Anolis sagrei: one gene and its partners. The protein of the gene in region 1 binds, or shares a complex with, the protein of each later gene. Links are inferred from orthologs where the notes say so. Each region holds a gene or a part of one and is shown in the gene's direction. Other genes may lie near its edges. The genes, in order: BMP2, BMPR1A, RGMB and RGMA.

The links.
Region 2: the proteins of BMP2 (region 1) and BMPR1A are in contact, whole or in part, in a crystal structure (PDB 2QJ9), measured with the Homo sapiens proteins. The link is inferred for Anolis sagrei from reciprocal best matches to the Homo sapiens genes BMP2 and BMPR1A. Residues at the interface, in NP_001191.1 of Homo sapiens: Lys297, Pro330, Phe331, Pro332, Leu333, Ala334, Asp335, His336, Ser339, Asn341, Ile344, Val345, Leu348, Asn350, Ser351, Val352, Asn353, Ser354; in NP_001393490.1 of Homo sapiens: His66, Cys67, Pro68, Asp69, Ile77, Thr78, Asn79, Phe83, Ile85, Cys100, Met101, Lys102, Glu104, Gly105, Phe108, Gln109, Asp112, Arg120, Ile122.
Region 3: the proteins of BMP2 (region 1) and RGMB are in contact, whole or in part, in a crystal structure (PDB 4UI2), measured with the Homo sapiens proteins. The link is inferred for Anolis sagrei from reciprocal best matches to the Homo sapiens genes BMP2 and RGMB. Residues at the interface, in NP_001191.1 of Homo sapiens: Val308, Gly309, Trp310, Trp313, Met371, Tyr373, Leu374, Asp375, Glu376, Tyr385, Met388; in NP_001353437.1 of Homo sapiens: Lys97, Arg100, Gly101, Leu103, His106, Ser107, Leu110.
Region 4: the proteins of BMP2 (region 1) and RGMA are in contact, whole or in part, in a crystal structure (PDB 4UHY), measured with the Homo sapiens proteins. The link is inferred for Anolis sagrei from reciprocal best matches to the Homo sapiens genes BMP2 and RGMA. Residues at the interface, in NP_001191.1 of Homo sapiens: Val308, Gly309, Trp310, Asp312, Trp313, Met371, Tyr373, Leu374, Asp375, Glu376, Lys383, Tyr385, Met388; in NP_064596.2 of Homo sapiens: Arg91, Arg94, Gly95, Leu97, His100, Ser101, His104.

What each region holds. Positions count from the first base shown.
Region 1 is NC_090021.1:147,057,405-147,064,816, reverse strand, and holds the start of BMP2 (bone morphogenetic protein 2), read left to right. Parts: upstream 1-4,395; 5' UTR 4,396-5,059; intron 5,060-7,412. UniProt on the Homo sapiens protein: Growth factor of the TGF-beta superfamily that plays essential roles in many developmental processes, including cardiogenesis, neurogenesis, and osteogenesis. Induces cartilage and bone formation.
Region 2 is NC_090023.1:159,897,301-159,904,847, reverse strand, and holds the start of BMPR1A (bone morphogenetic protein receptor type-1A), read left to right. Parts: upstream 1-4,532; 5' UTR 4,533-4,825; intron 4,826-7,547. UniProt on the Homo sapiens protein: On ligand binding, forms a receptor complex consisting of two type II and two type I transmembrane serine/threonine kinases.
Region 3 is NC_090022.1:251,975,151-251,982,220, reverse strand, and holds the start of RGMB (repulsive guidance molecule B), read left to right. Parts: upstream 1-4,050; 5' UTR 4,051-4,065; coding exon 4,066-4,549; intron 4,550-7,070. UniProt on the Homo sapiens protein: Member of the repulsive guidance molecule (RGM) family that contributes to the patterning of the developing nervous system. Acts as a bone morphogenetic protein (BMP) coreceptor that potentiates BMP signaling. Promotes neuronal adhesion.
Region 4 is NC_090029.1:17,659,733-17,666,650, forward strand, and holds the start of RGMA (repulsive guidance molecule A), read left to right. Parts: upstream 1-3,912; 5' UTR 3,913-4,170; coding exon 4,171-4,190; intron 4,191-6,918.

The sequences.
Region 1 (7,412 bases):
GAATAATAATAATAATAATAATAATAATAATAATAGTCTTTATTTATACCCCGCCACCATCTCCCCAACGGGGACTCGAGGTGGTTTACATGAGGCCAAGCCCAAACAACAAATCACAACAAGATTAAAATCAATACACCAGCAAAAACGGTAAAATACGCACATACAAATAATAATAATTTTTTAAAAGAAATATACCAATACAATATGTATAGTAATGACAATGAGCGGGCCACATGTACAAGATAAAATGTTAAAAACTCAGGGTGAGATAATAGAAGTAGGTTATTTGCGAGGGAGAGCTCGTATAAACACGGGTTGAACAAGGCCTTCATATAAGGGAGGGAGAGTATACTCCAAGGACACTAACGTTGAGGGGAGCAATAGTGTAAGATTGTGTGGCTACTCTCCAAAGGCGCAGTGGAAAAGCCAGGTTTTAAGGTGCTTTTTAAAGGTTTCTAAGGTGAGGGCTTTCCTAATATCTCCGGGCAATGAGTTCCAGAGTTGGGGGGCCACAGAGGAGAAGGTTCTCTCCCTTGTACTCACAAGACGGGCCTGTGAGACTGGCAGGGGTGAAAGGAGGGCCTCCCCCGAAGAGTTCGGGCTGGTTCATGGAGAGATATATGATCAAGAAGATAGGGCTTTATAGGTGATCACCTGCACCTTGAATTGGGACCAGAAAATAAATGGCAGCCAGTGAAGTTCCTTAAACAGGGGGGTTGACCGCTCCCTGTAACTCGCCCCTTTCTGCATGTGGCATCAGTTCTTTAAAACAGTGTTTTCCAAACCTTCGTTTCCTAGGTGTTTTGGACTTCAGCTCCCAGGAGATCCAACAGTAAAGAATTCTGGGAGCTGATATCCAAAATACCTGGAGGAACAAAGTTGGGGAAACTGCTTGAAAGGGAGCAGAAAGAGTACAGATAAAGGCCAAATTCTAAAAGGTGGAAATCCCAGCTTGCACTGAATTTTATGAACCAGCCTTCTCTGTTGGCTGGGCATCCCAGGGAAGGTTGGCAGTGCAGGTGGAGGCCCGGCACCTTTCCCAAAACACATGGCGGCTTCTCCTTCTTTGACCTTCAAGCACAACCCTCCGAGTGAGTAAACACTTAAATCCCACCGCACACAGCTAATCCGATTTGTAGAGGCAGAGCCTGCGTGTCGCTTTACCTCTCTTTCCCTTATAGACAAAAGCCAAGATAATAGATCATTGTTCAGCCTTCCTTCAGTCCCAACGGCCTGTTTACTTCTGCAAGGTGAAGGAAAACCCATCCTGTTTTTTCTCTCCTGGCTGAACCTTTGGGATACCCACTCAATCCAAGCTGAGGACCTTGAGGGCCCTTCCACACAGCTAAATAAAATCCCACATTCTCTGTTTTGAACTGGAATATTTGGCAGTGTGGACTCAGATAACCCAGTTCAAAGCAGATATTGTGGGATTTTCTGCTTTGATATCCTGGGCAGAGACGGCCCTAGGTAATTTTCAATGGTAAGCAAACAGTATTTTGGCGCCCCCTCCCCCAACCAATCATTGATATATATTTTCTGTTCATCGTGGGAGTTCTGTGTGCCATATTTGGTTCAATTCCATCATTGGTGGAGTTCAGAATGCTCTTTGATTGTAGGTGAACTATACATCCCAGTAACTACAACTTGTATATGTCAAGGTCTATTTTCCCCCAAGAGCGCCTCAAGAGCGCCCCTGGGCAAAATCAACCATACTGCGAATGCTTACTTTGCGTAATGGTTGAGGCGCCCCTGATCCTGGGCTATATGGTTATGTGGAAGGGCCCAGAGAAACATATATAAGGACCATCTACACTGCCCTATGATGCAGTTTAACTACATTATAGGGCAGTGTAGCCTCATACAATAAAGTTCGATGCATTATACTATGTCACAAAATTTGAAAAATGTTCTGCTCCTGTTCTGAAAGTGTTATTTCCTGTTTCTTGTTTTGAAAGTAGTTGCTTTACTCCAGAACCTTCATTTTTGTGGCTGCCACAAACTATGTTGAATTGGTTGAGAGACTCTGAGATATTCATTGAAAAGCTATAGCCAAATGTGCTGCAGGGTGTCCCACAAAAGCAAAGTTTTGGTAGTTGGATAAACCTTTTCTCACGATGAAAAACTTTTTCTCATGATGATAGAACCAATTAGCAAATGATAACCCAGGAGCAAAAATCATGTGACATAGGCCTCTTCCACATAGCTGAATAAAATCCAACATTATTTGCTTTGAAGTGGAATATATGGCATTGTAGATTCAGGGCCCTTCCACACAGCTCTATATCCCAGAATATCAAGGCACAAAATCCCACAATATCTGCTTTGTACTGGGTTATATGAATCCACACTCAGATAAAGTGGGATTTTCTGTCTTAATATTCTGGGTTATATGGCTGTGTGGAAGGGCCCTTTGGCAGAGAAAGCCCAAAGCCCTGTAAAACTACAGTTCTCATGATCCCAGAGCATGGAGCAAGGGCAAGCCTGCATTCATTCTACACCTGAAATCCACAGATTGATTGGGTCAAAGTTGGCTCAGTTCTGAGGGCCCTTCCACACAGCCATATAACTCAGATTATAACGGCAGATAATCCAAAATATCTGCTTTATCTGAGCCCACACTGTCATATAATCCAGTTCAATGTGGATTTTATACTGCTGAGAAAGGCTGAGAAAGAGCCTAGTCACTGGTCTGGGTATTACCTGACCCTGTGTAATTTGTGTTTGTATTGCATATTTCCCCAGTTATGAGGGACCTGTAAACTACTGTATGTTATCTACCTAACAGTTGTGGATCCATGGACCATAATAATAACGTTGTTGTTGTTGTACTGCTTTGTGGAAGGGGGTCTGAGTGTTGATTTGGGAGTAAATGTCTCCAAGAAGCCCCTTGAGGAATCCCTCTCCTTCCATTTCCTCCCAGGACTGATGGAATTTGGAGTCCAACATCTGGAGGACCATTCCTTTTTTGTCCTGCCAAGGGCTATTTTGAATGGCAACCAAACAGTTGTTGGTTGGAAGGAAGGAAGGAAGGAAGGAAGGAAGGAAGGAAGGAAGGAAAAGAAGGAAGGAAGGAAGGAAGGAAGGAAGGAAGGGAGCGAGGGAGGAAAGAAGGAAAGAAAGGAGAGAGGAAGGAAAGAAGGGAGGGAGAAAGGGAAGAAAGAAGGGATGGGGGAAGGAAAGAATGAAAAAAAGGAAAGGAGGAAGGGAGGAAAGATGGAAAGAAGGAAAGAAAGAAGGGAGGGAGGGAGGGAGTAAAGAAGCAAAGAAAGAAGAAAAGGGGGAAGGAAAGAAGCAAAGAAGGAAGGAAGGAAGGAAAGAAGGGAGGGAGGGAGGAAAGAAGGAAAGAAAGGAGGGAGGGAGGGAAGAAGCAAAAAAAGAAGGAAGGAAGGAAAGAAGGGAGGAAAGAAGGAAGGGAATGAGGGAGTAAAGAAGGGAGAAAATAAGGAAGGAAAGGAGAGAGGAAGGAAAGAAAGGAGGAAGGAAGGAAAGGAAAGGAAGGTAAGGAGCAAAGAAAGAAGGAAAGGAGGAAGGAAAGATGGAAAGAAGAGAAGCAAGAAGGGAAGGAGAAAAGAAGCAAAGGAAGAAGGAAAGGGGGAAGGACAGAAGGAAAGAAAGAAGGGAGGGAGCGAGGGAGCGAGGGAGGGAGGGAGGGAGGAAGGAAGGAAGGAAGGAAGGAAGGAAGGAAGGAAGGAAGGAAGAAGCAAGCGAGCGAGCGAGCGAGGGAGGGAGGGAGGGAGGGAGGGAGGGAGGGAGGGAGGAAGGAAGGAAGGAAGGAAGGAAGGAAGGAAGGAAGGAAGGAAGGAAGGAAGGAAGGAAGGAAGGAAGGAAGGAAGGAAGGAAGGAAGATAGGGAGGGAAGGAAGGAAGAAAAGAAAGGAAGGAAAGACGGAAGGAAGGAAGGAAAGACAGAGGCGGAGACGGGACGGGGAGCCACTCCGGAGCGAACTGCCTCCGACGCCGTGTCTCTTTTCAAATCGATCAATCCCCCGAAAAAGGATCACTGGAAAAGAGGTCCCACTTTCGGCACTGGGCAAACTTTCTGACTCCTTTCTATGGAGTGTGGTGGAATCCCCTTCTCTGGGGTTTTATATTTTTTGTTTAAAGCAGAGGCTGCACGGCCATCTGTCGAGGGTGCTTTGATTGTGTTTGGGGGTTGGACCGGAGGGCGGTTTGGGGTCGCTTCCAACTTGCATCATTCTACGAATCAACAACGATTCCGTTTCTTTCTCTCTGGAGCAAAAGGAGGGGCAACGAAAAAAAGAGAGAAAAAAAAGAGGCGGCGTCCCCTTTAAATATATAGATTTCTCTAAGAAGACGAGCCGCCTTCTTGTGCTGCTGCTGCTGCTGCTTCTTCTCCGCGCGCGGCTTCTCCTCCTCCTCTTCTTGGTTCGCAGGCCGGCTTGTGATTGGCGGAGCCGCGTGAAGCCCTGGCGGCCGTGACATCAGCAAGGAGCGGGCCCACAAAAAGCGCGAGCGAGAGGAGGAGCGGCGGCAGAGGCAGAGAAGGCAGCAAAGGCAGAACATTCTCTCTCTCCAAGACTTGCTTGCGCGGCCAGCGGACAACCCTGCTTTCCTTTTTTCCCGCAAGAGGCGGCTTTGGGGAGACAAACTCACCAAACTTGGGCGCATCCTTAGGACTCTTTCCCCTCTTGATCTTGTAGTTGCGTCTCTATATATTCTTCTTATTGCGATTTCCAACCTCTGGGATGTTTCCGAGACGGCGACGCGGGCCAGGCTGGAGGCGGCCGGCGGCAAAGACGGAATCCTGCTCTTCCTCCTCTTCGAGGCGGCCGAGAAGAAGATGCTAAGAAGACGGGCATTGCCAGGAGCCCGAGAGGCGGGGATGCGCGCTCCGCAGGCGCTCCAGAGCCAGCCCGGCCGGAGACTGAAGCCCAAGCCGAGCGGAGACTGAAGCCCAGCCAAGGAAGGAAGGAAAGAGGCGCGCCGACGGGGCCAGGCACTCCTCTCCCATGCGCGGCTCGGCTCCATGGACGTGCCCCAGTCCCATCCTCCTCCTCCCGCTGCTTCTTAGGCCGTCGGAGGGATCCTAAAAGGTAAAAGACCCCACCAGGCACCTGCCGTCGAGGGCAGCCATCGGATGCGGATGCTCAGTCTCCATGCCTTACTAGGCTCATACTCTGCGCATCTCCAATTGGGACAGTGTAGCGCGCTTTTAGGGGGTCCCATCTCCTCCTCGCTTCCTCCTGAGTCTCAGGTGAAAGAAAGGAGGGGCTCTTTCCTTCCAAGGTGCGCCTCCTTGTCCCAATCTCTTGTTTTTCGGGATCTAGAAGCATTCTCTCCTGACGTTTCGCCTGCATCTCTGGCAAGAGGTTGTGAAGTCATTAGAAGACTCTTTGGGGCAGGGACTCGCAACCCAAGTTGCCTCTGCCACTTCCCTCCTTTGGTTTTCAGGCTTCCCTCTCCACGCCGCTTTGCACTCTTCGGCCCCGTCTACACAGCTGAATAGAATCCCACATTCTCTGCTCTGAACTGGGATATAGGGCAGTGTGGACTCGGGGTCCTTCCAGACAACGCTATAGCCCAGATAACCCAGTTCAAAGCAGATATTATGGGATTTTCTGCCTTTTTGGGGGGGATCCCTTCCACACAGCCCTGTATGCCAGAGTATCTGCTTTGAACTGGGTTATCTGAGTGCACACTCGGATATTGTGGGATTTTCTGCCTTAGTTCTTGGGGGGCTCTTCCATACAGCCCTGTATCCCAAAATATCTGCTTTGAAGTGGATTATCTGAGTTCACACTCAGATACTGTGGGATTTTCTGCCTTAGTTTTTTGGGGGCTCTTTCATACAGCCCTGTATCCCAGAATATCTTCTTTGAACTGGTTATGTGAGTGCACACTCGGATAATGTGGGATTTTCTGCCTTGTTATTCTGGGATATAGGGTTGTGTGGAAGGGCCCTCAGATAATCCAGTTCAAAACAGCTATTGTGGGATTTCCTGCCTTGGTTTTTTGGGGATCCCTTCCACACAGCTCTGTATCCCAGAATATCTGCTTTGAACTGGGTTATCTGAGTGCACACTCGGATATTGTGGGATTTTCTGCCTTAGTTTTTTGGGGGCTATTCCATACAACCTTGTATCCCAGAATGTCTGCTGTGAACTGGGTTATCTGAGTGCACACTCGGATATTGTGGGATTTTCTGCCTTGGTTTTTTGGAGAGCCTTTCCACACAGCCCTGTATCCCAGAATATCTGCTTTGAACTGGGTTATCTGAGTGCACACTCAGATATTGTGGGATTTTCTGCCTTAGTTCTTAGGGGGCTCTTCCATACAGCACTGTATGCCAGGATATCTGCTTTGAACTGGGTTCTCTGAGTGCACACTCAGATAATGTGGGGTTTTCTACCTTGATATTCTGGGATAGAGTGCAGTGTTGAAGGGCCCTCAGATAATCCAGTTCAAAGCAGATATTGTGGTATTTCCTGCCGTGGTTTTTTGGGGAGCTCTTCCACACAGTCCTGTATCCCAGAATATCTGCTGTGAACTGGGTTATATGAGTGCACACTCAGATAATGTGGGATTTTCTGCTTTTACATTCTGGGATACAGGGTTGTGTGGAAGGGCCCTCAGATAATCCAATTCAAAGCAGATATTGTGGGATTTCCTGCCTTGATTCTTGGGGGGCTCTTCCACACAGCCCTGTATCCCAGAATATGCTTTGAACTGGGTCCTCTGAGTGCACACTCAGATAATGTGGGATTTTCTGCCTTGATATTCTGGGAAAGAGTGCAATGTGGAAGGGTCCTCAGATAACCCAGTTTAAAGCAGAAGTTGTGGGATTTTCTGCCTTGGTGGGGTTTTTTTTGGGGGGGGGGGTGGCTTCCACACAGCCCTCTATCCCAGAATATCAAGGCAGGAAATCCAAAAATACCTACTTTGAACTGGGTTCTCTGAGTCTGCACTCAGATAATGTGGGATTTTCTGCCTTGATATTCTGGGATAGAGTGCAATGTGGAAGGGTCCTCAGATAACCCAGTTTAAAGCAGAAGTTGTGGGATTTTCTGCCTTGGTGGGGGTTTTTTTGGGGGGGGGGTGGCTTCCACACAGCCCTCTATCCCAGAATATCAAGGCAGGAAATCCCAAAATACCTACTTTGAACTGGGTTCTCTGAGTCTGCACTCAGATAATGTGGGATTTTCTACCTTGATATTCTTGGATACAGGGCTGTGTGGAAGGGCCCTCAGATAACCCAGTTCAAAGCAGACATTGTGGGATTTTCTGCCTTGGTTTTTGGGGAGCCCTTCCACACAATCCTGTATTCCAGAATATCAAGGCAGGAAATTCCCAAATATTTGCTTTGAACTGGGTTGTCTGAGTCCACACTCGGGGCCCTTCCACTCAGCCCTATATCCCAGAATATCAAGGCAGAAAATCCCACAATAT
Region 2 (7,547 bases), on another chromosome or scaffold:
TTAGCACACAGGGCTCCCATGACCAACAGAAAAAACTGGAAGGGTTTGGTGGGCACTGACCTTGAGTTTGGGAATTGTAGTTCACCCACCTCGAGATAGCACTGTGGACTCAAACAATGATAGATCTGGACCAAACTTGGCACGAATATTCCATATGCCCAAATATGAACACAGATGGAGATTAAGGGAAATAGACCTTGACATTTCAGAGTTGTAGTTGCTGGGATTTATAGTTCATCTAAAATTAAAGAGCATTCTGAATCCCACAAACGACAGAATTGGGACTAATTTCCCACACAGAACCCCCATGAGCAACAGAAAATACTTAAGGCCATCCAGTCCAACTCTCTTCACCAGGGCAAGAAAATGTAATCAGAGCCCTCCTGACAAAGAGCCATCCAGTCATAAATATAGATAGATAGATATGATTCTCTTTCACACACACAGATATAGTATCATAGATTTGAAAGAGACCCTTAAAGAAGGACTATGATATGTTGCTATTCCAGAGTAGGCAAACCAGACACTCTCCACATCAACACTGACAAAGAAACAACAAGAAATACTGTTTACTCACAAGCATAAAGGAATTACATATATTAGAAACCAACACTTTCTCATTACTTTATTTTCCAGATCACCAGACTGGGCCACAGCAACGCGTGTCAGGGGACAGCTAGTACAAAAATGCAACGTTTGTTTGTGGGATTAACATAACTCAAAAACCACTGGAAGAATTGACACCAAATTTTATACACACACAAAACACATATACACAGATTGGGCCACAGCAACGCGTGGCAGGGGACGGCTAGTTTAAAATATTTTTATCCCTTTTTTCTTTCTTTACATCCTTTAAAACAACCGGGCATGACATAGTTATACAATAATACCACCGGGCAACAAAACCAGTGGAGATGTTAGTCACTAAGATGATGAATGTGAAGTGTTTTGGACACAAAGAGCTTGTACTGCTCTTGAGCCATGAGCTCTCCTCTTCTATTCTGAAGCAATGGCAGTTCTTTCTAAATGCCAGCTTCCAGTATTGGAACTGGAGGGTGGTAGGCTGGAAGGCGAACAATACAGGCCACTGTTTCCCTCTGAAGCTTCACAGAAGGCCAGCTGCCAATTTCAAGCATCTTCAATGCTTTTCCCATCCACTTGTCCTTCACAAACTGCTTGGCGAAGAGGGCACCGTGCCATGAGAAACTGCTGCGATATCCCAATAACATCTTAGTCAGCTGTCAAGGAAAAGACAAGTACATTGGCACAATGCAGGAGTCTCTTTATAGTAGATTTCACAGGCAATGCAACTCGTTTTTCACATTACTAAGCAAAACCCTTCCTTCATTTTTCCTCATGCTGACTGGGACATTTCCATAGGCTGTCAGGTTTTTATATGAATGTGCTGAGGACAATGTGAAAATGCAGTTTTCACAAAGTATTTTTAAGACAGAACAGACTTGATTTTTTAATTTAAAAAAACCCTAATATATTTACCGAACTGCTGTGTGTTTTTTTTAAAAAAAAAGTTGTCATTTTAAATTGTCCTGACCCATTCCTTTTCCATGCCCTAAAAATTAGATATTATTATTATTATTATTATTATTATTATTTACAGCTTTTATATTCCACCCTTCTCACCCTGCAGGGGACTCAGGGCGGATTACAGTATACACATATATGGCAAACATTCAATGCCAATTTTTGACATACAAACATATACAGACATACACAGAGGCTATTTAACTTTTTCTGGCCACCAGGGGAGCTGTCGCTTTCATCGTCCATCTGCGACACTGATGAAGCACTTCCGCATTCCCCGCATGCTTCCCCGCTGGAATGCTTTGCTGGAGTCTTCTTTATGGCCTCATAAATCAGTTAATTTAGCCTCCCCACACTTTAAGGTGGTACCTTATTTTCCTACTTGACAGATGCAACAGTTGCAAAGGTCGACAACAGGCTACACACAATTGGTTGGAAACCCACTCCAACCCTTCGAACTCATGACCTTTTTGGTCAGAGTGATCTTAATGCAGCTGACACTCAGCCAGCTGCACCACAATCCCGGTGCAGATATGAAGAGCAGGCAAGATCTTTTCTTTTAATATTTATGTGTTGTCGGGTAATTCCATGCTTATGTTGCTGTTATTTTTTGTTCATGTTGTGACTCTGTATATTTTGATCTTGTTGCTTGGAAACTGCCCCGAGTCTCCCGAGAGAGACAGAGCGGTATATAAATAAAGTTTATTGTTATTATTATTATTATTATCATCATCATCATCATCAGTTTTAAACATATCATTCCTAAACAAAAAGAAATATGCTGTCCACTCCTGCTTATCTCCAGTTCACCATTATAACTCACTCTTTCTTACCTAATGGACCAGGAATGGTACTTTGGATTGTTGTAGGTTTTTTTCAGGCTATATGGCCATGTTTTAGAGTCATTTTCTCCTGACGTTTCGCCTGCATCTATGGCAAGCATCCTCAGAGGTAGTGAGGTCTCTTGAAATTAGGAAAATGGAATGACCAGGGTGGGGCAAAGAACTCTTGCCTGTTGGAGCTAGGTGTGAATGTTTCCACTGACCACAGGTTAACCCCCTGTGCCGGCAGGACCGAAGACCGACAGGTCGCAGGTTCGAATCTGGGAAGAGGCAGATGAGCTCCCTCTATCAGCTCCAGCTCCTCATGCGGAGACATGAGAGAAGCCTCCCACAAGGATGATAAAAACATCATAATCATCCGGGTGTCCCCTGGGCAATGTCCTTGCAGACGGCCAATTCTCTCACACCAGGAGTTACTCCTGACACACACACACAAAATTATTATTATTATTATTATTAGTCCCAGCATACATGGTGCTATTCTCCCAATATCAGGAGCCACATGGGTTGCCCATTCCTGTAGCAAATAAATACAACTTGGTATCCTGGGCTGCTCACTTCCCCTTATGGAACTTCCACACAGCCATATAACCCACAATATCTGCTTTGAAATCAGGGGCCTTGCACACAGCCATTTAACCCAGAATATCAAGGCAGATAGAATCAAAGAGTTGGAAGAGACCTCATGGGCCATCCAGTCCAACCCCCTGCCAAGAAGCAGGAATATTGCATTCAAAGCACCCCTGACAGATGGCCATCCAGAAAACAAGCTTGCTCCCTCCTCCCTGTGGCTTCCTCTCACATATTTATACATGGCTATCATATCTCCGCTCAACCTTCTCTTCTTCAAGCTAAACATGCCCAGCTCCTTAAACCGCTCCTGCTTATATGGCACCACAATTCAAGAGAGATATTGACAAGCTGGAATGTGTCCAGAGGAGGGCCACTAAAATGATCAAGGGTCTGGAGAACAAGCCCTATGAGGAGCGGCTTAAGGAGCTGGGCATGTTTAGCCTGAAGAAGAGAAGGCTGAGAGGAGATATGATTTGTTGTTGTTCATTCGTTCAGTCGTCTCCGACTCTTCGTGACCTCATGGACCAGCCCACGCCAGAGCTCCCTGTCGGCCGTCACCACCCCCAGCTCCTTCAAGGTCAGTCCAGTCACCTCAAGGATGCCATCCATCCATCTTGCCCTTGGTTGGCCCCTCTTCCTTTTACCTTCCACTTTCCCCAGCATATGATAGCCAGCCATGTATAAATATGTGAGAGGAAGCCACAGGGAGGAGGGAGTAAGCTTGTTTTCTGCTTCCTTGGAGACTAGGATGCAGAACAATGGCTTCAAACTACAAGAGAGGAGATTCCATCTGAACATGAGGAAGAACTTCCTGACTGTGAGAGCCGTTCAGCAGTGGAACTCTCTGCCCCGGAGTGTGGTGGAGGCTCCTTCTTTGGAAGCTTTTAAACAGAGGCTGGATGGCCATCTGTCAGGGGTGATTTGAATGCAATATTCCTGCTTCTTGGCAGGGGGTTGGACTGGATGGCCCATGAGGTCTCTTCCAGCTCTTTGATTCTATGATTCTATCGCCAAAACTTCCCAAGGTCGGAAATGGCGGGGAAGCTCCGCCTCGCTTTCCCCGAAGGCGCCTCCTTCGGGAATCTCCGCCACCACTTCGGCACCCCTTTCTCCTCTCTTTGGGAAAGGTGTATCCCAATGCGCCTGCGCCAAGTTGGCCTGTGCGGGGAGCTGGGGGCCTCACTTTAAAGCCGACCCCTTCCGAACTTATTCGGCTACTTCCGTAGAGAGGCGGGAAGGCAGCCAAATAACACCTTAGGGACTTTAAAAAGAGAGAGCACGGGGGATGGGGAAGGACAGACGCAGGCACGCGCGGAGGGGGGGGGGGAGGTAGAGTCCGCGCGCCTCGCACTTTCCTCCCCAGCCAATCATGGCATGCTTCACGACTAGCAGTGATTGGAATAATTCGAGTGAGTGAGAGAGAGAGCGTTCCAAACGTTGCTCCCCCCTCCTGCCGTACTCCTCAAGCACGCAAGAGAGAGAGCGCGAGGGAGTGTGTGCGCGCGCGCGACGTTTTCCCTCCGCGTCTTCCTGCGCAGGCGCGTGCCCAGACACATCTACACAGAGGCACACGCGCGCGCGCGCGCGCTCACGCTCTGACGAGGGAGGGGGGACGGCGGCGCTGGCGTCGAGAGGCGGCTGTGGTAAAGGCTGTGGTAAAGGCGGAGAGGCCTGCGCTGTCTCCTCACAGTTTTCTCCCTCGTCTTCGTGGGCCGCCTTCGCCTTCGTCGTGTAGAGAAGCCGAGGAAGGTCCCCACCGGGCCAGGCCCTCAGCCGAGGGGACGCGGTTTACCTCAGACCTGCTTCTCTCTCTCTCTCTGTCTCTCTCCTTCCGCACAAAGGAGGATGAAGGCCCCCCGGCACGGGTGAGTGAGGCAAAGGCGGGGAGCTAATGGCGGCGGGAAGGAGTCCCTTCTCTTCCCTTCCGAAAATATTCCCTCCTCCTTTAAGGCCTGGCTTGAATTGCGTTCGTTTTTGCCTTTTAAGAAGCAAGAGACTTAGTCGCCGTCTCCAGACTAAGAGTAGGCGAGGCCTGGCCGGGAGCTCTATGGAAAGACCCACTCGCACACATAGGCCCCTTCCACACAGCTGAATACAATCGCACATTATCCGATTTGAACTGGAATATATAGCAGTGTGGACTTGGGACCCTTCCACACAGCTATAACCCAGACTATCGAGGCAGAAAAAGCCCACAATATCTGCTTTGAATATCTGAGTCCACACTGCCAGTTCGAAGCAGATCTTGTGAGATTTTGGGTTGTTGTAACGATTTATGCCAATGATCCTCGAACTTTTTAAATAGAGGGCCAGGTCACAGTCCCTCAAACTGTTGGAGGGCCAGATTTTTTATTTTTTTTAATAATAATAATAATAATAATAATTATATCTGCAGCATGGTGTAGATCAGTGTTTCTTAACCTTCCTAATGCCACGACCCATTAATACAGTTCCTCATGTTGTGGTGACCCCCAACCATAACACAGAAATGCTGGACCACACCGATAACCACCATGTCAGACTACACAGAGAAGCCATTGAAATCCACAACCAGGTGGACAATTTCAACAGAAAGGAAGAGACCATGAAAATGAACAAAATCCGGCTACCAGTATTAAAAAACTCTAAAATTACAACAGCAAAACAACAGAGAGGAAACAACCAGGCACATCTTAACACCTCTCAGCAAGAGATTTTCCCAGGCTCAGGCAGGCCTTCAAATGCTAATGAAGGTGATCAGTTGAAACATTCACACCTAGCTCCAACAGACAAGAGTTCTTTGCCCCACCCCAGCCATTCCACAGATATATAAACCCATTGTCCTAATTCCAACAGACCTCACTACCTCTGAGGATGCTTGTCATAGATGCAGGCGAAATGTCAGGAGAAATGCCTCTAGAACATGGCTCTATAGCCCGAAAAAACCCACAAGAACCTAGTGATTCCAGCCATGAAAGCCTTCGACAATACATTATTTTGTTGCTACTTTATAACTGTAATTTTGCTGCTGTAATGAATTGTAATGTAAATATCCGATATGCAGGATGTATTTTCATTCACTGGACCAAATTTGGCAGAAATACCCAATACACCCAAATTTGAATACTGGTGGGGTTGAGGGAGATTGATTTTATCATTTGGGAGTTGTAGTTGCTGGGATATATTAGGGTTCACCTACAATCAAAGAGCATTCTGAACTCCCCCAATGATGGAATTGGACCCAACGTGGCACACAGAAATCCCATGACCAACAGAAAATACTGGAATGGTTTTGGAATTGTAGTTCACATACATCCAGAGAATACTGTGGACTCAAACAATGATCGATCTGGACCAAACTTAGCATGAATGCTCAATATACCCAAATGTGAACACTGGTGGAGATTGGGGAAAATAGACCTTGACATTTGGTAGTTGTAGTTTCTGGGATTTATAGTTCACCTACATTCAAAGAGCATTTTCAACCACACCAACGATAGAATTGGCCCAAACATTCCACACAGAACCCCCATGACTAACAGAAAATACTGTGTTTTTTGATGGTCTTTGGCGACCCCTCTGACACCACCTCGCGACCCCCCCCCCAGGGGTCCCAGGTTGAGAACCACTGGTGTAGATATTATTGTATCTGCAGCATGAGCCAGATTATAATTTGAATATGCACACATTTTATGTGTAGTGCAAAAAACCCCTTAAAAACAATACAATAATTAAAATGAAGAACAGTTTTAACAAATATAAACTAATTAGTATTTCAATGGGAAGTGTGGCCTGCTTTTGGCTGATGAGATAGGATTGTTGTTGTTGTTGTTGTTGTTGTTGTTGTTGTTGTGTGCTTTCAAGTCGTTTCAGATTTAGGTTCAACCTGAGTGAGGGCCGGGTAAATGACCTTGGAGGGCCGTATCTGGCCCCCGGGCCTTAGTTTGAGGACCCCTGGTTTATGCGATCTGAAGAGAAACCGGAATATGCCTTGCCTTGTATTCATATATGGTTTTACTGTATGTATACTGTATGTATGGCCAAGTGTATGTTTTGCATGTTTTGATACGGTCAAAATTGACTAATCAATAAAGAATTGTTGTTGTTGTTGTTGGTTGTTGTAGGTTTTTTCTCCTGACGTTTCGCCTGCATCTATGGCAAGCATTCTCAGAGGTAGTGAGGTCTGTTGGAACTAGGAAAATCTATATAAATAAAAATGTAATGTTCATTTGTGGGATTAACAGAACTCAAAAACCACTGGACGAATTGACACCAAATCTGGACACAAGACAAAACCTAACAACCCAATGTATGTTCTTCACTCAAAAAGAATTGATTTTGTCATTTGGGAGTTGTAGTTGCTGGGATTTATAGTTCACCTACAATCAAAGAGCATTCTGAACCCCATCAACGATGGAATTGAACCAAACTTGGCACACAGAACTTCCATGACCAACAGAAAATACTGGAAGGGTTTGGTGAGCAGTGTCCTTTGGTTTTGGAGTTGTAGTTCACCTACATCCAGAGATCACTGTGGACTCAAACAATGATGGATTTGGACCAAACTACACAAATACTCAATATGCCCAAATGTGAACACTGGTGGAG
Region 3 (7,070 bases), on another chromosome or scaffold:
GAGCCTCTTCTGCAAACTTCAACTTCCAGTACTCCATAGGCTTGGATGCAGTAGAACTAACACAGCTTGGAACTGCTTCTTACTGCTGGCCCTCCGTGCTGTGGAATCCTGGGAGTTGTAGTTTTGCAAGGTATTGGGCCTCTTCTGCAAACTAAAACTCCCAGGATTCCATAGGCTTGGCTACAGTAGAACTAACACAGCTTGGAACCGCTTCTAACTGCCATCCCTTCAAGCTGTGGAATTGTGGGAGTTGTAGTTTTCAAGGTATTGAGCCTCTTCTGCAAATTACAATTCCCAGGATTCCATAGGCTTGGAAGCAGCAGAACTAATACAGCTTGGGACTGCTCCTAACTGCCATCCTTCTATGCTGTGGAATCCTGAGAATTGTAGTTTTGCAACGGGCGCACCTACACTGTGGAATGACTGCAGTTTGACAACGCTTGTAATTTCTACGGCTCTGTGGAGTCCTGGGAGCTGTAGTTTTCTAAATTCTTGAGCCTTCCCTGCATCTTCGGTGCCTCACCAAACTACAACTCCCAGGATTCCATAGGCTTGGATGCAGTAGAGCTTGGAACCACTCCTAACTGCCATCCCTCCATGCTGTGGAATCCTGAGAATTGTAGTTTTGCAACGTGCGCCTCTACACTGCGGAATAACTGCAGTTTGACAACACTTGTAGTTTCTATGGCTCCATGCTGTGGAGTCCTGGGAGCTGTAGTTTTCTAAGTTCTTGAGTCTTCACTGCCTCATCAAACTACAACTCCCTGGATTCCATAGTATTGACTCAAGGCAGTTAAAGTGGTGTCAAATTGCATTCATTCTATAGGGGAAGTCTTGCTGAGTTCCATCCATTGGGAGCAAACTAGAACTCCCTACATTTCTCTGTTCCAGCCAAGTGGGATTCCTTTCCCAGGGCCCATCTGACCACTTGGGTTGGTGTGGAGCAGGCCTGGGCAAACTTGGGCCCTTCCTCCAGGTGTTTTGGACTTCAACTCCCACAAGTCCTAACAACTTAAAGGAAAGGGCCTGAGGCTGTTAGGAATGGTGGGAGTTGAAGTCCAAAAGACCTGGAGGGAGAGCCCAAGTTGGCCCATTCCTGGTGTAGATGTACCCTAAGTTGCTATTACAAAATCGGTGGCAATCCCTTGGCGTCTCTCCCTTCCTCCAGCATTCAAGTTCCAGCCGAGCTTTTTTGCCCTCTAGGAATCCGTCTAGTTGGCGCTCGCTCGGTCTGTAACCTAAACCGAGCTTCCATGGGTCACGTGACACAATGCCCCCCCCCCCTTCCCTATTCCTCGCTCCCAGCCAATCATATTCCCAGCCTGTCCCAGCTAAGTGCTCTTGGCTTTGGAAGCCTTATGTTCCAAATCGGAATGTTGGGACAAAGCAGCGGGCGCTCTGATTGGCTGTAGGAAGTACGACGCAGGGCTGAAGGAGTCAGCCTGCGGGTTTTCAGAGCGCGCTTTGCCTTCTTAAAGGGCACGTCCCGAATTTCCTATAACTTAAGATGTGTTTTTAAAAATCACCTTGTTTTAGAGGTTTTTTTTAAATATATAGAACACAGATATCTATTACTGAGATACACAAAGTATTATGTTATTGTTGTTGAAACTTCAAATATGATGTCATATGACAGATTTATTACTTATATACACAATATAGAATAACAACTTCTCTTTATCATGGATAAATGCCCATATTCATGTAGATAAACATAATAGTCCAATTTGTCTGATGACTGAAAGAGTCATTTGTAGATGTTTCAAAGGACTATTAAACCAAAGGACTTTAAACCATCAGACAAATTGGACTATTGTGTTTATCTATGAATATGGTCATTTATCCATGATAAAGAGAAATTGCTCTTCTATATTGTGCATATAAGTAATACATCTGTCATATGACATATTTGAGAGTTTATTTTTAAACAAAGACTGTATGGCCATCTATCAGGATATTTATTTATTGTATCAGGAGCGAACCAAGGCTACGGTTACATCGTATTTTTTTAAAAAACACAAAGTTTGAAAACTTGGCATTATATTAAATGTCCTTTGACCTGTAGCTGGCCACTTAGAGTACCTCTGGTGTTGCTATAAGAAGGTCCTCCATTGTGCATGTGGCAGGGCTCAGGCTGCATTGTAATAGGTCGTCTGTGGTTTGCTCTTTTCCACACTCTCATGTTGTGGACTCCACTTTGTGGCCCCATTTCTTAAGGTTGGCTCTGCATCTTGTGATGCTAGAGTGCAGTCTGTTCAGAACCTTCCAAGTCACCCAGTTTTCTGTGTGTCCAGGAGGGAGTTTCTCATTTGGTATTGGCCATGGATTTAGGTGCTGGGTTTTAACTTGCCACTTTTGGACTCTCGCTTGCTGAGTGTCTCTGTAGATCTTAGAAAACTATTTCTTGATTTAAGTCATTGGCATGCTGGCTGGCAGAATGAGTTTAGATTAGACCAGGGGTCCTCAAACTAAGGCCCGGGGGCCGGATACGGCCCTCCAAGGTCATCTACCTAGCCCTCGCTCAGGTTCATCCTAAGTCTGAAACGACTTGAAAGCATACAACAGCAATCCTATCTCATTAGCCAAAGCAGGCCCCACAGTTTCAATTGAAATACTAATAAGTTTATATCTGTTAAAATCGTTCTTAATTTTAATTGCTGTATTGTTTTAAGTATTTTTGCACTACAAATAATATATGTGCAGTGTACATAGGAATTCATTCATGGTTTTTTGAAATTATAACCCAGCCCTCCAACAGTTTGAGGGACTGTGACATGGCCCTCTGTTTAAAAAGTTTGAGGACCCCTGGATTAGAGGATCTTCCTAACTGTTGAATCTATGCATGCATTTACACCAGGCATGGGCAAACTTTGGCCCTCCCTCCAGGTGTTTTGGACTACAACTCCCACAATTCCTAATAGCCTAATTGCTGTTAGGAATTATGGGAGTTGTAGTCCAGAACACCAGGAGGAAGGGCCAAAGTCTGCCCATGCCTTTAGAATTAGTGCAGCTCGATCCCACTTTGTAATAATGGGAGTTGTAGTTTTGCAAGCTCTTTATAGTCTTTTCTTCTAAAGAATGTGTGGTGGAGGCTCCTTTGTAGGCTTTTAAGCAGAGGCTGGATGGCCATCTGTCGGGTGTGTTTTGAATGCAATTTTCCTGCTTCTTGGCAGAATGGGGTTGGACTGAATGGTCACAAAATCTCTTCCAACTCTATGACCATCTGTCTGGGGTGTTTTGAATGCGATTTTCCTGCTTCTTGGCAGGGAGTTGGACTGAATGGCTCACTAAATCTCTTCCAACTCTATGACCATCTGTCAGGGGTGTTTTGAATGTGATTTTCCTGCTTCTTGGCCGAATGGGGTTGGACTAGATGGCCCACGAGGTCTCTTCCAACTCTATGACCATCTGTCTGGGGTGTTTTGAATGTGATTTTCCTGCTTCTTGGCGGAATGGGGTTGGACTGAATGGCCCACGAAATCTCTTCCAACTCTATGACCATCTGTTGGGAGTGTTTTGAATGTGGTTTTCCTGCTTCTTGGCAGAATGGGCTTGGACTGAATGGCCCACGAAACCTCTTCCAAATTTATGACCCTCTGTCGGGGGTGTTTTGAATGCGATTTTCCTGCTTCTTGGCCGAATGGGATTGGACTGGATGGCCCACGAGGCCTCTTCCAACTCTGTGATTCTATGAATGTTGGCGACCAAACAAATTCCGGGATTCCATAGCATTGAGCCATGGCAGTTAAAGCAGTGCCAAACTGGATTAACCCTACAGTGCAGATGCACCCATACTCCAGGAGCTAGATTCCCTTTTTGTAATCCTCCCAGGATGCAGTGTTGTTTTGAGCCTAACCAGCCCAACCAAAAGGAAAGGAAAGCCAACCCCACCCACTCCTTAAAGTGTAAACACCCAGACAAGCCACTGCGCTCTTTGGCAAAAGTCGACTCCAATTTTTTTTTCAAAGGAGGGGGAGGAAAGTTCCGGCCTCCTATGAGAGCCGCCTTTGTTTTGTTGGACGGCGCCATCCAGCCAATGGGAGCGCAGCGGACGGGGAAGAACCAATGGGAGCGTGGTGGGCGGGGCGGAACCAATGGGAGCGCGGCGGGAGGGGCGCCGGGCGGGGAAGAGCGGAGCCGAGATTGTTTCCAGTGAGGAAGGTCCGGAGGGAGGGAAGGCGAGAAGGAGGAACGGCGCTCGCGGATTCTGACTGGCTTTGTGCCTCTTCTTTCTCTTTCTGGCTTGGGGATGCTGCTGCCGCCGCCTTCGCTGCCTGTCCCTGGCTGGGGCTGACCCTCAGGAAGAAGAAGAGGAAGCGAGGAGAAGGAGGAAAAGGAGGAGGCCCGCCCGGCGGCTCATGCACCCGCCCCGCCGCCGCCTCCTCGCCGCTGGAGCCCCGCAGAGCTGCATGGACGGGCATGGGGAGGGCGGGCCCGTACTGCGCATGCGCTGAGGAGGAGCCGCAGCAGCAGCAGCAACGCCGCAAGCAGCGCCAACCCCCGCCTCTCCTGGGGCTCCTCGTCGGCCTCGGGCTCCTTCTTCACGCAGGTACCGCCGCCGACGCTCTCTTTCCCGGGTGTAGACTGTCAATGCGCATTGGCACCACTTTACCCATCTTATGGAATCCTGGGAGTTGTAGTTTTGCAAGGTCTTGAGCCTCCTCTGCCTTCGCGAACTACAACTCCCAGGATTCCGTAGCCCTCGATGCGGTAGAGTTAACGCAACTTGGCTCCTAACCGCCACCCCTCCAAGCTGTGTTATCCCGGGAGTTGTAGTTTTGCAAAGTTCATGAGCCTCTTCTGCAATCTACAACTCCCAGGATTCCATAGGCTTGGAAGCAGTAGAACTAACACAGCTAGGACAGCTCCAAACCGCCATCCTTCTGTGCTGCGAAATCCTGAGAATTGTAGTTTCGCAAGATCTTGAGCGTCTTCTGCAAGTTACAACTCCCAAGTTTCCATAGGCTTGGGTGCAATAGCATTAAAGCAGTTTGGCACCATTCCTAGCTGCCTTGTAGTTTTGCAAGGTTTCGACCCTCTTCAGCCATTGGAAACTATAACTCCCAGGATTCCATAGGCTTGGACGCAGTAGCATTAACACAGCTTGGCACTGCTCCTAACCGCCACCCCTCCATGTTGTGTAATCCTGGGAGTTGTAGTTTTGCATAGTCTTGAGTCTTTGCTACAAACTACAACTCCCAGGATTCAATAGGCTTGAATGCAATAGAATTAAAGCAGTTTGGCACTGCTTCTCCTAACGGCCATCCCTCCATGGTTTGGAATCCTGGGAGTTGTAGTTTTGCAAGGTTTTAAGCCTCCTCTGCCTTAGCAAACTACAACTCCCAGGATTCCATAGATTTGGATTCAATAGCATTGACACAGCTTGGCACCGCTCCTAACCGTCATCCCTCCATGTTGTGTAATCCTGGGAGTTGTAGTTTTGCAGGGTCTTGAGCCTTTGCTACAAACTACAACTCCCAGGATTCAATAGGCTTGGATGCAGTTAGCATTAACACAGCTTGGCACCACTCCTAACTGCAATCCCTCGATGCTGTGGAAATCCTGGGAGTTGTAGTTTTGCAAGGTTTTAGCCTCCTCTGCCTTATCAAACTACAACTCCCAGGATTCCATAGCCTTCAATGCAGTAGAATTAAGGCAGCATGGAATCCTAGGAGCTGTAGTTTTGCAAAGCCTTGAGCCTCTTCTGCCTTAGCAAACTACAACTCCCAGGATTCCATAGGTTTGGATTCGGTAGCATTGACACAGCTTGGCACCGCTCCTAACAGCCATCCCCTTGATGTTGTGGAATCCTGGGAATTGTAGTTTTACAAGACATTGAGCCTTTTCTACAAACTGCAACTTTCAGAGTTTCCTAGGCTTGGATGTGGTAGAATTAACACATCCTGGCACCACTCCTAACTGCTATCTCTCAATGCTGTGGAATCCTGGGAGTTGTAGTTTTTTCAATGGGTGCACCTACACAGTGGAATGAATGCAGTTTGACAACACTTGTAATTTCTACAGCACAGTTTTATGGGATCTCAAGAGTTGTAGTTTAATAAGTTTTTGAGTCTTCTCTGCCTTGTCAAACTACAACTCCTTGGATTCCATAGCATTGAGTCAAGGTAGTTAAAGTGGTGTCAAATCGCATTCATTCTATAGTGGAAGTCTTGCTGGGTTCCATCACAGTGGGGCATCTACTGTGGCTCAAGGTTATGGGATCCTGGGAGTTGTAGTTTTACAGGATCTTTAGCATTCTCTGCCTCTTTGGTACCTCAGCAAACCACACCTCCCTCCATTCCATAGAATTGGAATCATCTATCATGGCTCAGTGTTCTGGGACCTCAGGAGTGGTAGTTTAATAAGGTCTTGAGCCTTCTCTGCCTCTTTAGTGCCTTGTCAAATTACAACTCCCTGGATTCCATAGCATTGAGTCAAGGCAGTTAAAGTGTTGTCAAATTCCATTCATTCTATAGTGGAAGACTTGCTGGGTTCCATCCCATTGGGGGCAAACTACAACTCCCTATGCTCCATAGGATTGTGGGCCTCTGCCGTGGCTCAATGTTATGGGACTTTAGGAGTTGTAGTTTTACAAGTCTTGAGCTTTCTCTGCCTCTTTGGTGCCTCGTCAGACTACAGCTCCGTATGTTCCATAGGATTCTGGGCATTTGCCATGGCTCAATGTTATGGGGTCTTGGGAGTTGTAGTTTTACAAGGTCTTGAGCCTTCTCTGCCTCTTTGGTTCCTCGTCAATCTACAGCTCCCTACATTCCATAGGATGGGGGACATCTACCATGGCTCAATGTTATGGGATCTTGGGAGTTGTAGTTTAATAAATTCTTGAGCCTTCTCTGCCTCTTTGGTGTTTCGCCAACTACAACTCCCTGCGTTCCATAGGATTGGGGGCATTAAGGCTGTAGAATTAATGCAAGTTGTCAGTACTTTAGTTGCCAGGGCTTAATGCGATGGAATCACGGGAGGGATACTTCTTTAAATCCTCATTTTTGTTAAATCATGAAGGAAGAATCAAAAGAACAAAAACAATACAAACAAAAAAGACAGACTTTCAA
Region 4 (6,918 bases), on another chromosome or scaffold:
AGCGACTTGTGAAACTGCTTCTGGTGTGAGAGAATTGGCCGTCTGCAAGGACGTTGCCCAGGGGACGCTCAGATGTTTTGATGTTTTGATCTATTTATTTATTTATTTATTTATTTATTTACAGCTTTTATATTCCGCCCTTCTCACCCCGCAGGGGACTCAAGGCGGATTACAGTGTACACATATATGGCAAACATTCAATGCCAATTTTTGACATACAAACATATACAGACATACACAGAGGCTATTTAACTTTTTCTGGCTGCCAGGGGAGCTGTTGCTTTCATCATCCATCTGCGACGCTGATGAAGCACTTCCGCATTCCCCGCATGCTTCCCCGCTGGAATGCTTTGCTGGAGTCTTCTTTATGGCCTCATAAATCAGTTAATTTAGCCTCCCCACACTTTATTTTCCTACTTGACAGATGCAACTGTCTTTCGGGTTGCAAAGGTCAACAACAGGCTACACACAATTGGTTGGAAACCCACTCCAACCCGGGCTGGCTTCGAACTCATGACCTTTTGGTCAGAGTGATCTTAATGCAGCTGACACTCAGCCAGCTGCACCACAATCCCGGTGCCAATCTAAACATTAAGAAGGGAATATTGATGATAAGAGCTGTTTGACAGTGAAATATATGCCGTGGAAGATGGCAGTCTCTCCTATCCTGGAGGTCTTTCAGCTGAGGCTGGATGGCCATCTGTCAGGAGGGCTTAGATTGGGCATTCCTGCAGAAAATAATGGGGTTTGATTGGATAGCCCTTGTGCTCTCTTCCAACTCTATGAATTTATGGTTCTAAGTTTTATGCTTGGTATGTTTAGCTTGGAGAGGAGAAGATATATGGAAGGTGACATATAGAAGATGGAGAAGTCTTGTTTTCTGCTGATCTGGAGGCTAGAACATGAATGAATGGATTCAAATTACAAAAAAAGACATTGAGTCAGCTGCATACTCTGCTTAACAGCAGATCCAGATCTGTTCGCTTGCTATATATCCATGATCTGAACATATTTTATCACACTCCCAGATATACATGTGTTTAGCACACATAAACACTTGCTGAGATTTAAACACGGCATCGGAGGATAAGTGCCATTGCTTCTGACATGACATGTCTGAAAGACTGGAATAATAAAAGGTGGCAATAAACGGGATTGTGTATGTGCCGTAAAATGAATGCTGTCGTTTGTTGTCTCGGATGCCTCCTGTTTCTCTTTTTATCCCGAAAGACCAAAGAGGCATTTCTCCCGGCTTCTCCGCGGGGTTGTCAGTTTCTTTTGTTTTCAATGGAAAAATGGTAGTTGCCATTTAAAAGATATTTACTTCAGTTTAATGAGACTCGTGAGCCCGGAAAGATAGATTCAGGCCCCTATAGACAATTGAATGTATTAGTCAGTGTTAGACTATTCTGAAATGAGGGAAGATAAATTGGCACATGTGGGAGCAAGAGCACTTCGTTCCCTTTTTAATTCATTCCATTTATAACCTTCGTTTCGCCGCAAGTATTCAAAACTATAGGTTAAAATAAAGTCGAGCTAAAACAGGCAACATGATTTAATGGTTTGGGTAACAGACAAGGATTCTGAGAGTCTCTGCTCAGCATGAGAACCTATTGGGTTACCTCCCTGGGTATTTTAGACTGTTTAGTCGATTTTGATCATTTTCACATCTGATACGGACCAACTTGGGATTATTTTAATGGGTCATTCAATATTGCTATGTATTAACTATGTTGAGGAGCCCCTGGTAGTGCAGTGGGTTAAAGCGCTGAGCTGCTGAGCTTGTTGATCGAAAGGTCGCAGGTTCGATTCTGGGGAGCAGCGTGAGCTTCCGCTGTCAGCCCTAGCTTCTGCCAACCTAGCAGTTCGAAAACATGCAAATGTGAGTAGATCAATAGGTACCGCTCTGGCGGGAAGGTAACGGCACTCCATGCAGTCATGCTGGCCACATGACCTTGGAGGTGTCTACGGACAACGCTGGCTATTCGGCTTAGAAATGGAGATGAGCACCATACCCCAGAGTCAGACATGACTGGACTTAATGTCAAAGGACTACCTTTACCTTTACCTTTATTAACTATGTATGTTTGGTTGGTTGCTTACTTACTTAGGCGATCCCTCATTGTCCAAGTAGGATAGTCTTCCAAGATCAATGTACTGGTGGGTCTGTAAGTGACTCTGGAGCCCTATTCTTGATCTGCATCTTCTCCCGCAGTGAGGGCATTGGTTTCCAGGTGGAAGGCGGTCCCGGTTGGGGTTGGCTTGATGCACCTTCCTCTTGGCACATTTCTCTCTTTTGCCCTCCATTCATGCCTCTTCAAATTCTACAGCACTGCTGGTCACAGCTGACCTCCAGCTGGAGTGCTCAAGGGCCAGAGCTTCCCAGTTCTCAGTGTCTGTGCCAGAGTTTTTAAGATTGGCTTTGGGCCCATCTTTCAATCTCTTTTCCTGCCCACCAACATTCCATTTTCCATTTTTGAGTTCAGAGTAGAGCAGCTGCTTTGAGAGATGGTGGTTGGGCATCCGGACAACATGGCTGGTCCAGGGGAGTTGATGGCAGAGGACCATCGCTTCAATGCTGGTGGTCTTTGCTTCTTCCAGCACACTGACATTTGTCCACTTGTCTTCCCAAGAAATTTGCAGGATTTTCTGGAGGCAGTGCTGATGGAATCGTTCCAGGGGTTGCATGTGACATCTGTAGACAGTCCACGTTTCGCAGGCATACAGCAGGATTGGGAGGACAATAGCTTTACAAAGAAGCACCTTGGTATCCCTACGGATGTCCCGGTCTTCAAACACTCTGCTTCATTCGGAAAAAAGCTGCACTTGCAGAGCTCTAGTGGTGTTGTATTTCAGTGTCAATGTGGACTTTTGTGGAGAGGCGACTGCCAAGGTAGCAGAAAGGGTCAACATTTTCTAATGTTACACAATTAAGCTGTATTTCTGGCATTGGAGAGGGATTGGCTGGTGACTGCTGGAAGAGCACTTTGGTTTTCTCGATGTTCAATGACAGGCCAAGCTTCTAATATGCTTCTGCGAAGATGTTTAGAGTGGCTTATAGGTCTTCTTCTGAATGTGCACAGATGACATTGTCATCAGCATACTGGAGTTCTATAACTCAGCTTTCAGTCTGCTGTGGTTAAACTGCTTGCCATCTGTCTGATAGATGATTTCCACTATGGTATTATAGCGATGAAGATGGAGAATAAAGTTGGGGCAATGACACATCCCTGTTTGACACCCGATTCCACCCTAAATGAGTCACTTTGGGAGCCATTGCTGTCCAAAACTGTTGCCATCATGTCATCATCTGGGAAGGGATTCCACTAGAGCATTGCAGCACACCCAAATACCTAGGAGTCACTCTGGACCATGATCTGACTTACAAGAACCACTGCTTGACTATCAAGCTTCAGTCCTGCCGGCACAGGGGTTTAACCCACTACGCCACCATATATATATATATATATATATATATATATATATATGAGCAAACTACAGACCACAGACTAAAATGCAATCAGAGTCTTTCCACATGCACAATGGAGGACCTTTTTACAGTGACACCATAGCAGTCGCAGTGGCCAGCTTCTGATCAAAGAAAATTTAGCATCATGCTAAACTGATTATGGTTTTTCTATACATTATAACCGTATTCTCAATTTGCTTCTGGCATGATAACCATACAAACAAACAAACTATGGTTGTAAGCCATCTTGGAGAAAGGGAATAAAGAAATGTCCCAAACAAATAAATACATATTTGGAGTCAAGAGAGCAGTTTCTCGAAGCTCAGCTCTTGCACCTCTCCTCTCCTAGACCTGGGCAACTGCTCAGCAATTTCCCCCCATCAGCCTTCTCCTTTTTCCTCTTCTCTTCCTCCTCCTCTTCTTCTTCTTCCTCCTCCTGGTCCTTTTGCAGAGATGCTGTGAGAGATGCAAGCGAAGATGCAAGCCTGGCTTTCTCCCTCCCGCAGTCTCTAAAGGCAACATTGGAAAAGGCAAGGAGAAAGGAGGAGGGCATTGCAGGTTCTTAAAGTCTGCAGGGAGGAAGAAAAAGGGCTGCTCTTTTGCTGTCAATCCAGCTTCTCCCGCCTCCTCCCATCTCACTCCTGGCATCCCAGCAAACGCCTGCAGGCTTCCGGCTCCCACTGTCTCCCAGCCAGGTGTAGATGCTCATGCAGCCACCAAGGTAAGCCGGGATGGACAGGAAAGAGGTAAGGGAAGGGGGAGGAGGCAGTGGGATGGGGATTTGGGGCTCTGTGGGTGGACTACAAGCCATTATGTGCTTTCCGCACCTTCCTCAATTGCATCTCCTGTTTCTCATCAGTTATCCCCTTGCTCCCTCTTTGGGTTGCCGAGCATCCCTATGCTGAATGCATAGGTCCCTTGTGTTGTTGGGTTGTTTGGGGATATTTTCCTTTCTTTTTCGTTTTTTGGAAAGCAGGATTTTGGTGACCCTTGACCCACCCCAGGTTGACCTCCTCCTGCCTCTTCCCTAATTCTGTTTACTTAGGGAACCTGTTGAGAGGTGTCCAATTCTCCCTCCTGCTTGCATTTCGCTCCTTGAAATGTTGTCTCAAGAGATCTCCTTTTTTCCTTTTTCTCTCCCTTCCAACCCTTTAAAAAAAACCCAAATATTGAGTTTAAGCTACTCTTTTGAAAATCTAATAAAAGTAATTTTTGGAAGGAACAAAATCAGAAGCTGGCCAGAATCCTATTGTTCATCCCGATCAGAGTAGACTCTTTGAATCAATGGGATTTGCCTATCTTTGGATACATCCTTCAATGATGGGGTCCATCAGTTTACCGAGGATTAATCGTTTATTATTATTATTATTATTATTATTATTTGAAACACGAGATGAGTCCACAGAAGACACTCTGCTGGTTGTTGTATTGGATCAAACATCAAACATTTCCCAATTATTATTATTATTACAATTATTATTATTATTATTATTACAGATTGCACTCGGGGACCTCTCTTCCCCTTTGATGCCTCCTGAAACAATACAATAGGTATGAGTGCTTACTCATAGGAGTATGTCACACTAAGTGCTGGATTAATCAATTATTATTATTATTATTATTATTATTATACAGATTGCACTTGGGGACATCTCTTTCCCTTTGAGTATGAGTGCTTACTCATAGGAGTAAGTCACACTAAGTGCTGGATTAATCAATTATTATTATTATTATTATTATTATTATTGATTGCACTCAGGGACATCTCTTCCCCTTTGATGCCTCCCGAAACAATATAATAGGTATGAATGCTTACTCATAGGAGTAAGTCACATTAAGTGCTGGATTAATAGATGTTTATTATTATTATTATTATTATTATTATTATTATTCATAATAATAATAATACAGATTGCACTTGGGGACATCTCTTCCCCTTTGAGTATGAGTGCTTACTCAAAGGAGTAAGTTACACTAAGTGTTGGCTTAATTGATGATGATGATGATGATAATTATTATTATTATTATTATTATTATTATTACAGATTGCACTTGGGGACATCTCTTCCCCTTTGAGTATGAGTGCTTACTCATAGGAGTAAGTCACACTAAGTGCTGGATTAATTGAGGTTTATTATTATTATTATTATTATTATTATTATTATTATTATTACAGATTGCACTTGGAGACATTTCTTCCCTTTTGAGTATGAGTGCTTACTCATAGGAATAAGTCACACTAAGTGCTGGATTAATCAATTATTATTATTATTATTATTATTATTATTAAGGATTGCACTCAGAGACATCTCTTCCCCTTGGAGTATGAGTGATCACTCATAGCACTAAGTCACGCTATTCTATTTTTCTCTCTCTTTCCAAAACAGAGGAAAGCTTGTCTAGCATTGCAGCACCACGAAACCACAATCTGACCGCCAGAAGCTAGGTAGATTTACTCAAGACCCATTGAGGACAATGAGGCTGACCCCCCCCCCCCCCCATGAGTCTGCACAGAATTGCCACTTTCTATGTCTCCGTGATATGGAATCGTGGGAGTTGTAATTCACAAGGTTTTTAGCCTTCTCTGCCAAAAAAAAAAAAAAAATGCTGGTGCTGCATGAAATTATGATCCCGTAGCATTGTGCCATGGTGGTGAGTGATGTCAAACAGCATTCATTCCACAGTGTAAATCAGGCAAGGGCAAACTTCAGCCCTCCAGGTGTTTTGGACCTCAGCTCCCACAATTCCTAACAGCCAGAATTATGGGAGTTGGAGTCCAAAACACCTGGAGGGCTGAAGTCTGCTCATACCTGTTGTAGATGCACTCGAAGCTTATTTTATGTGAGTGAATTCCTCTGAATTAAATGGTGCTAAAGAAAGAACCAGAAAGAGGGGGGAAAGGTGGGATTCCTATAGACAGGAGAAACCTTTCAGTAGGATGTGATGTTTGTTACTGAAGCCCTCGGGGTTATTTGAACTATCCAAATGATCCCAAACTCTCAGCCATCAATTCCTGGCACCAGCTGCAACGTTTTTTTCCCGTCCCAAGTGGGATTCTTTTTATTTATTGATTGATTTACTGTATTTGTATACCGCCCTTCTCAGCCCTCAGGTGACAATAGTAACGATTCAATACCCAAAACCACCATAAAACATTTTTCACACATAAGAAAAAAAGATCCCCCATTCATTCCTCTGATGGTTTATTTGGCCCCCTCCACACAACTGTATTAAACCCACATTGAACTGGATTATATAGCAGTGTGGACTCCAACGACCCAGTTCAAAGCAGATATTGTGGGTTTATCTGCCTTGATTTTCTGGGTTATATGGCTGTGCGGAAGGGCCCTTAGAGTGACAGCACATCAGTGAATTGTCACTTTCGGAAGATAATACTTCCTTTCTAAGGGACAGAAAGGATGAGAAAATTTGCCTATCCTTCCTATTAT